2 linked regions of the Oryzias latipes genome follow. The protein of the gene in region 1 interacts with the protein of each later gene in a pairwise test. Links are inferred from orthologs where the notes say so. Each region holds a gene or a part of one and is shown on either strand. Other genes may lie near its edges.

Evidence for each region.
Region 2: the proteins of kxd1 (region 1) and lrrc45 interact in binary tests that used the Homo sapiens proteins (3 or more experiments, as listed by UniProt). The two-hybrid records come from large-scale screens. The link is inferred for Oryzias latipes from reciprocal best matches to the Homo sapiens genes KXD1 and LRRC45.

The regions. Positions count from the first base shown.
Region 1 is NC_019864.2:21,181,592-21,185,587, reverse strand, and holds kxd1 (kxDL motif-containing protein 1), read right to left. Parts: upstream 2,801-3,996; 5' UTR 2,665-2,800; intron 2,499-2,664; 5' UTR 2,484-2,498; coding exon 2,386-2,483; intron 2,235-2,385; coding exon 2,082-2,234; intron 1,621-2,081; coding exon 1,574-1,620; intron 1,465-1,573; coding exon 1,208-1,464; 3' UTR 420-1,207; downstream 1-419.
Region 2 is NC_019877.2:23,060,562-23,064,665, reverse strand, and holds the start of lrrc45 (leucine-rich repeat-containing protein 45), read left to right. Parts: upstream 1-1,304; 5' UTR 1,305-1,393; exon of another isoform or gene 1,394-1,410; intron 1,411-1,568; exon of another isoform or gene 1,569-1,679; intron 1,680-1,692; exon of another isoform or gene 1,693-1,813; intron 1,814-2,336; 5' UTR 2,337-2,400; coding exon 2,401-2,611; intron 2,612-3,744; coding exon 3,745-3,806; intron 3,807-3,873; coding exon 3,874-3,944; intron 3,945-4,084; coding exon 4,085-4,104. Other genes in the region: trub1 (probable tRNA pseudouridine synthase 1), read right to left, coding at 980-1,078, 1,157-1,304. UniProt on the Homo sapiens protein: Component of the proteinaceous fiber-like linker between two centrioles, required for centrosome cohesion.

The DNA.
Region 1 (3,996 bases):
TGATGTAGGTGCTTGATAGATCCATTAATGTCTTTGTTTTCCTTGTCTGAGCTGACATCTGGCTCAAAACTGTACTGCTGGAGAGCTCCGATATTGCTCACCATTTTTGTTGCACCAGTAATGTTAGGTTGGAGTTGTGAGGGGCTGTAAGCTAGCTGGACAGAGTGTAAACAAACGGATGATGGGAAATGAGGGAAGGCTTACTCCCCGCCAACAGTCATGCCCACAACCCAGAAAAGCTCTGCAGAAATGTATGTCCTAGAAAACTACACAGCTTCTTTGATTTTCCCTAAGAACAGCATAGTCATAATTAAAAGACCACTGGGAATGATTTTACAATAGATCAAAAGATGATCAGAGTGGGTCTTTAATTCTCCCCAACTGTGATCCTTTCCACATTTAAGAATTCAATAGGGCATAAACGGGTAACTTTTATTTTGAAAAGCAATGCCAACAAAATCATCTATCTCAGATATTTAAAAAATAATCATGGTATGTTGTTAATAATTACGGTCATAAAATAAATTTACATTTATTTGCATTTAAATTAAATTGTGCCTGCCTTTACCGTTTAAAACAAGAGTTCAGCAAAAATTTGAACACTTGGATTAAAATGTAAATTTTAAGTTTTTATCCTTTGATCCAAATCCAAAATGCACTTACTAGAAAAAAATAATTATATTATTGGTTATATTAATAAATGTATTGTGTTGTTGATTTTCCTTCTTGACAGTCTCTATGACATGCAAATACACATGTATAATGTGTATTTTCAAGCTTCTATTCCCACAGGAAATCTGTTTAATGTGCCAACAGTAACCTTAGGAAAACACTGAAGTTAACAAGGTAAACACAAGACAAGTCTGAATAATACTCTCAGCTATTAGTATATAAATTGAGATCCTTAAACTTGTGCATTTAAGAATGCAGTTTTCGGCCAAAAGTGCATCTTTTTAAAGAAAAGAAAACTACAGTCACCTAATTATTGAAGCCTTTGGATCCTGAATTTTTACATATTTTTATATTCAAACGCTTCACAAGTAAAGTAGCATTTTTCCATTATTTACATTTTATGCAGACATACATCAAGTCAGTATTAGACAATAAAAGAGAAACTTGACCTTTAACAAACAGATGTACCCACTAAAAAAAGAATTTGTTTAAACACAGAGCATGGCCTGTGAACTTTATGTCCATTCTGTTGCTTTTACTCAGCAGGTACAGAGTCAGGACCCTCATCCTGAAGAACTGCTGTCTCTTGGACATCAGAAGTGGGTGTGTCAGGTGGCTCCTGAGAGAGGTCCTCAGAACATCTGCTCACAGTGGGTGAAATCACATCCGGACTTGTGTCACAGGATTCTGTGCTTTGCTCTGAAGTGGCTGTCGTGGTTGTTGTAGCAACGCTTGGAGGAACTGGGTCAAATTCGTCATCTTCATCTTCTGAGATTGGTGACTCGTGGATATCTGAAAGGGACAAAAACGTCTTATGAAAACACTTTTGGGGTGCATGATTTGGTAGAAAAGGAACATAATATTAGATGTTAGTGGAAAAAAAGTCAAAATCTCAACTTACTGGTGAAAGCTTCTGGGTATTGTTTGGCAATTTTCCCTTTTAAAGTCCTAAGAAAAAGAAGAGACAAATCATGAGAAATGTGCATATTCCACATAAGTTTTCTCTTCTGACCCTGAGTGGTGGTTTCCCTCAAGCTTGCAAGACTTTCAGGATAGTTCCTGCTCTTCCTCATCCAGTTTCTACTGCTAGAGAGGTATTCACTAGTACCTGTTGTAATATTGACTGTTTGTTATATCATCAAATGATTAGTACTCCACATGCCTCTCAGACTTAAGGACTGATTTGGATTTTTCCACTCTTGTTGTCTTTTGAATGTTTGTCCATAGATGTTTTGTTCCAGTTTCCACCAGCTTGTGCTAACTTTAAAGCACACTTTGGGGAATCGAATTGGGTTCCACCCTGGATCTCCTGAGGCCAGGGTTTACCATCACACTATTCTATAAAGATATGAACGTGTCAATAGGTTTATAGATAATTGAATACACCTTCTTAAGGTGTAATGACTTACCTAATTCTTCTGAAAATGCTATCCAGATCTTTCTTCATCTCTACCAGGGTGCGGGTGTGGAGTAGGAAGCGGTCATTCATCTGCTGCAGCCTCACATTTGACAGTCCATTGAAGTTTATCAGCATTTCGTTGGTTTTTTCAAACCGATCGAGCCTGTTTCCACAATCAATAGACAGAAAAGACAAAAGACTTTACTTCTAAACTCAACAGTCATTTCACAAAGCAGCAAATCTCCCACATAAACAGACCCCCCCCCCCCCCCCCCCAACAAAAAAAAATAGATCAATCACAGCACGGAACTTACATGTGTCTCTGAGCCTGGATGATAGCGTTCACGTCCTCAGAGTTAACCATACTCAGCATTCTGCTGCAGAACACGCCAGATGCTGTGGGCTCGTCCATGATTTTTTTTTAAAGCTGCAATTGAAAATCTTCATTAATTCAGAATTTATACAATTCATGGAATTGAAAAACCGTGAAACTATGTATTTTATAGTTTACTACTATGCTACTGCCTGGACGGTTATTTAAATGAACTCGGACGCAAAAATATAAACTAGAAAAGAAAAATCACGTCTCCTACCTCAGAAGAAACAGTTTATGTATTTTGAACTTTGGTTTATTTGATAAAATAAATAAAATATATTCGACAACTGACTGCAAAACAGACAATTTGCTTCCGCATTTATGTCGACTTCCGGTCACAAGACCAGCATTTCCGGTAAAAAAAATGTTTTCCAAAAATGACACTTGCGTATTTTACTCAATGATTTCAATTTCGTTACTCTTAAATATAAACGGGATAAATGTAACATACATTTTCAGTTAACCTTCAGTAAAACTTTATGATGAAACTGTGGTGTCAGTCATGAACGACGGCTTAAAATGACTCGGCAATTGTAAAACTTTAAAGCCGTTTTCCTTGATATACATTTTAATTATTTTAGTTTGATTTAATTTAATTCTAAATGTTATTGCATCGCGCAATCAAAAGATATTTTTTCATCAACTTGTTTCTGCAGTCTGAAACTCGCTCAAATCTAAACAATTTTAGTTGTCGCAGCAGTAAAATGTGAAAGTTGTCAAATTTATTCATGAAATCAGGAAAGAATTGTATCTTAAGTGGGGAAATAGAATGATGACCTACTTAGAAAGCTTAAAAAAATATAATTTTTCAAAATAAAGTTTATCAAAAATATTTACTTTACATCCAGTAGTGTGTCTCAAAATTTCACATACTCCCAATTATTTAGGTTTAAGAGTCTACCTTTCAAGGCTTCGTGCCTTGAAAAGTTTTAACTGTTACATTGATTGTCTAGAAAAACCTTTGCAGGTTTAAAAGGCAGCAGCATTTCATCCTCTGAGATTATTCAAATGTCTTGTCTCCTTGGTGTGCGCCAACTAAATGCTTTTCACACCACCACATGGCGAAAAAAAACTAAATTTAAATATTCACACATGAACCATCTGTGAGAAAAAAATAGCATTTTGCTGTCGTTTATCTGCATTTCATAGAAGCTGTTTTCTCATATTGTTTCTACAATCGTCTGTTAAAATATATAAAATGTTAAATCTTTTTTTTAACTTTTTTTCCCTATCATAGCTGAAAGTGACTGCAGAGGTCCTCACACACAAGAATAACTCATAAAAAGGTACTTGCGGAAAAAAGCACAAGATTACTTTTATTAAGAGACAAGTAAAAAAGTACATGATGTATAAAAATTACAAAAAGCTTTGTCTAACTTGTAAGCTAAGGAAATGCATAGCAACAGTACATGCAAGTCTAGAGTAGAATTTCCTATGATGTCCTAATACTCTGTCATTGTAAGCTACAAGGTACAAAGGGGAATACAGTTTGTTTGCAAACTATCAGCCATTACAGTCTACATGGATGCAAAGGGATCATACAGAAGAA
Region 2 (4,104 bases), on another chromosome or scaffold:
TGGAAATGTTTTTGCCATTTGTTCATGTATCTAAAGTTGTATCGTCATTGCAATATTGATCACTAATATCGCGAGTTTTCCTCATATCGTGCAGCCCTAATTTGGATAGTTTACATTCTTATTTGTGTGTGTGTGTGTGTTATGTTTATTCTTTCCTTTTATGGTCTATATTTTATGTTAGGTAATGGTTATTGTTATTCTTTGTCATGTTTATGTAGTTACTGTTGTTCTATGTAAGGTAACTCAGTTGTTAATAAAGTTTTTTTCTTAAAGGGCCTGTGGCAGATGTTGCCAGATCAGGAGAATTCGAATCAGGAGCAGGTGAGAAAAAAGCTAAAGGGGCGGGACCAAAGCTCCCTGCTCCGCCCCCTTCTGGTCAGACAAATAGATGCATGAACGTCTCTTGGTCTGAGCTGTAATCTGGATCAGAACCACACGGCTGGATAGATCTGATACTCTGCTGCTGTTTTTATTTCCCCACTAATGTTAGGCTGGGGGGATGTGAGGGGTTTTAAGCTAGTGGGAGAGAGTGTAAATAGATGGATGACGGGAAGTGGGGTGTGCTTACTGTGTCATTGGCTGTGCAAATGGTCCCGCCCACAACTCAGAAGTGAATTTCTACTGACTTTCTGCAAAAAATGTACTAAAAAAAACAAGTTTTTGGATTTTGGCTAAAACCAGCGTAATAATAACGAAAGGACAACAGGGAAGACTTTGAAAACAGGTCAGATGATGATCGGAGTGGCACTTTAAACTTTTCAGCTTTACATTCTCTGTTGCCTTCAATCCAAACTCTTGGAAATATGGCAGAAAAAAAGATTTCTAGTTTTTGAAGGACATTCCTGAGAAAGAAGCTCAAACAAACCATAAACCTATCAGGTGTTCACAGTTACACTGCGCTATTAGCGGAATATCACCTGGTCTGAAATCAGAGCTGGTGATTCCCAGCGGACCCCAAACGCAGCAGGGCGTCAGTTACCTAACACGCCGCTGGCGGCGCTATCCAGGGTCCCTCCGTGGCCCATCTTCAGCCACTGCTTCTTTCTTTTCCGGGGGTTGGGGGTCTCCACTCCCGCTTCTTAGAGGATGAGGAAACACATTTCACCTGCAGCTTTATTTGGTCTTCCGCTCGTTTCTGTTGTTTTGCCCTGGTTACCTTTGAGCAAGGCTTCTTTGAGCGCGTTCAGCACGTCGGCGGATGTCGGCCCTTTCTTCTTGTAGATAGCAAACATTCCGTGCAGAGACTGCAGTTTCACCAGAGAGCTGCTCACCTTAGACGCCGCGCTGCTCGTGTTTCCAGCCATGCCTGGTTCCACCTGCTCTTCTTCGGCCACAGAATTCTGTGCTCAGCGGATGATGGTGTCTTATTGTCGCCTCCTGGCGGTGGATTAAGGTAATCGCAACAGTTTTGTTCTTGCCTTTGCGGTCCGGTTTTTATGACGAAAATAATCATTTAAAAAATATAAAACTAGTTATTATTTGTAAAAGTCTTTTTTTCAAGATGAAATTATAGTTAATGTTAGTAAAAGAGAGACAGAAAAATTTTTTCAAATCTCACTACGCTGACCATGATGCTTTGCGCGGATCACACTTCCTGGTTACTTGAACGGCTGGTTTCCTTCATCCGTCAGATGGTAAACACAGTAATCATCAGGAGACGCTGCATTCTGCCTGCTGGGGTCTGTTTGATGCTATTTTGTAATTTCTTCGGATTTCGTACCGACAAACATTCGAGAAAACGTCTCGCCTTTCGGTTTTTGTGTGGATCATCTGTTCGAGTCCCGCTTCGCGTCTGCCGCCAGACAAACTTTCAGTGGGTCTTTCTTAGAAACCATCTTCTAGCTCTTCAACAGTCCGTTTAGGAAGTGAAATCACAGTTCGCTTTGAACGAATTGAAGGGTTTTGTGCCAACTTAGAAAAGTTTCTGCTAACGTAGCCGTCCAGCTTTTTGCCCTGAAGCCCCCGTTTTCAAGTCTGAGCTCTTCATCACTTCATCTTCATCAGGCGGGCTGAAAAAAAAACGCTGAACATGAAACTACGGTGGCCCTGAGGTGCAAACCAAAAATCATGAACTCGGGGTTAGGGATGCTGGAAGGTCTCAGGTCCAAGTCACGTGGTTTTGGATGTGGGTTCCGCTGTCATCTGAGGAAGTCACGTGGAGGATGGAGAGACATGCATTTACTGTTTTATGAAAACTTTATTTATAACTCAGGAACAGCTCTCACAAGCTCCAAACCTTTCTGCATTGGAGGCTAGCGGCATCTTTGACAGGACTTTTGCTGCCTTTGACCAAAACTAAGCTGAAGTCTCTGTTTTTCTTTTTTGCTGCTCGGTAGATGGGCCCCTGAGGACCAAAGACGGCTCTCTGTGCTCAGATGATCGGGACTGTGGAGACCAGCGATGGAGGACTCCAGGGGGTTGTACCTGCGTCTGTGTAAGGAGGGCGGCGTGGAGCCTCAGGAAGGGGTCCTGGATCAGCTGCAGGAGGGTTCCAGGCTGGATCTGAGTGGACAGAGCCTGTCTGCAGACACCTGCTCGGTGCTGGCCCGGGCCCTGCAGGACGGCGCTTTTACGCAGGTGTCGCTGAGCGACTGCATGCTGAGTGAGGAAGGTGTGTTTGACAGCACCCGCCTATGGGGGCTACTGTTAGCCATAGGATTATGACAAACACCGGAAAATCAAACTTTGAATTGCGTTTCTTAGTATTTATTTATTCAAATTGCTGTGAATCAGGAGCAGACCAAAAGATGCTGCTGAAAAAAGAAATAATTAGTGATGTAGAAAATACACTGGGTGGGGGGCGGGGCTAAGGTCTCCCTGCTCCGCTCCATTCTGATCATCCACCTGCAGAGAATGAAGGTCTTTGTTTTCCTGGTCTGAGCTGGAATCTGGATCAGAACGGGACGGCGGGATAGTTCAGATATTGCTGCTGTTCTTGTTGTCCTACTAATGTTAGTGGGTGAGGGGGTGTAAGGAAGGGGGAGAGAGTGTAAACAGATGGGTGACGGGGAGTTGGGGCAGGCTTACTTGATTCCAACAGTCCCGCCCACAATTCTAGGTGAATTTCTAATGAGCTCCTGCTGCTCTGCAGAAACTGTTGCGTCCGAATTCTCACCTGAACCCCTAAATGCTAAAAAACTATGCAGTGTCCTGGATTTTTAAAGCAATTCTGACACCAAGCTCACTCCTTTTTTTTTTTTTAAACGGCAGATATGATGTCATCGATTTCATGAAGTTTAAATTTAATTAATATGAGCGTTTTGCAACAATCATTTATGAGTCCACTGTCTTCTGAGGATAAAAACATTGACGATTTATTTAAAAAAAATTATTTAAATAAATCTTTTTGGGGAAAAAAATGTTCCGACGCAATGCATTGTGGTCTATGTTCTCCGATCTAGTGAGCACCGATGCACACTGGTTTTCCAGAGCACTGGATTTGGAATTGTAGATTCAGACAGCACTAGAAAATGGAGAACGCTCTATATAGGGCACTATGTAGGGCAGGGGTGGGAATTTGGACATACAAGGTTTTTTTTAGATTTTGGTTAAAAACAGCATATTTCTACTTAACTGGGAACGCTTTGAAAATACACTAGAAGATGATCAAGGTGGGATTTTAAGTTAAAGTAGTTATTATAATTTAACTGAAAGTTGTTGTTTTTTCATGTGTTGTCCTTTAATTGTTGATATTTTTGACAAACGTGACCTCATTAGTTTTTTGTCTTTGTGTCTGACCTTCAGGGGCCAAAATCCTCCTGAGTGGACTGTTTGGCAACACCACAGTGAAATCTCTCGACATGAAGGTTTGTCAAATGATGCTGAACACCTGACGGACGGACGGATCGGTTGACGAAATGCTTCTGTCCACAGGGGAATAACCTGCGGTCGGCCGGAGCTGAGGTGCTGGGAAAACTGCTGGCCCGCAACAAGACCCTGTGTAGGTGAGAGCCGCGCTCCGACTGTCCTCTGCTAGATTTCTGCCTCTGATGTGTTCAGACACGTCCCCAGTCGGTGCTCGGCCTGCGGGTGGAGCACGGCGCTCCTTTCCCAGCTCTTATGGAGCTGATGCTGGTGTTTCTAGGCTGGTTCTGGAGTGGAACG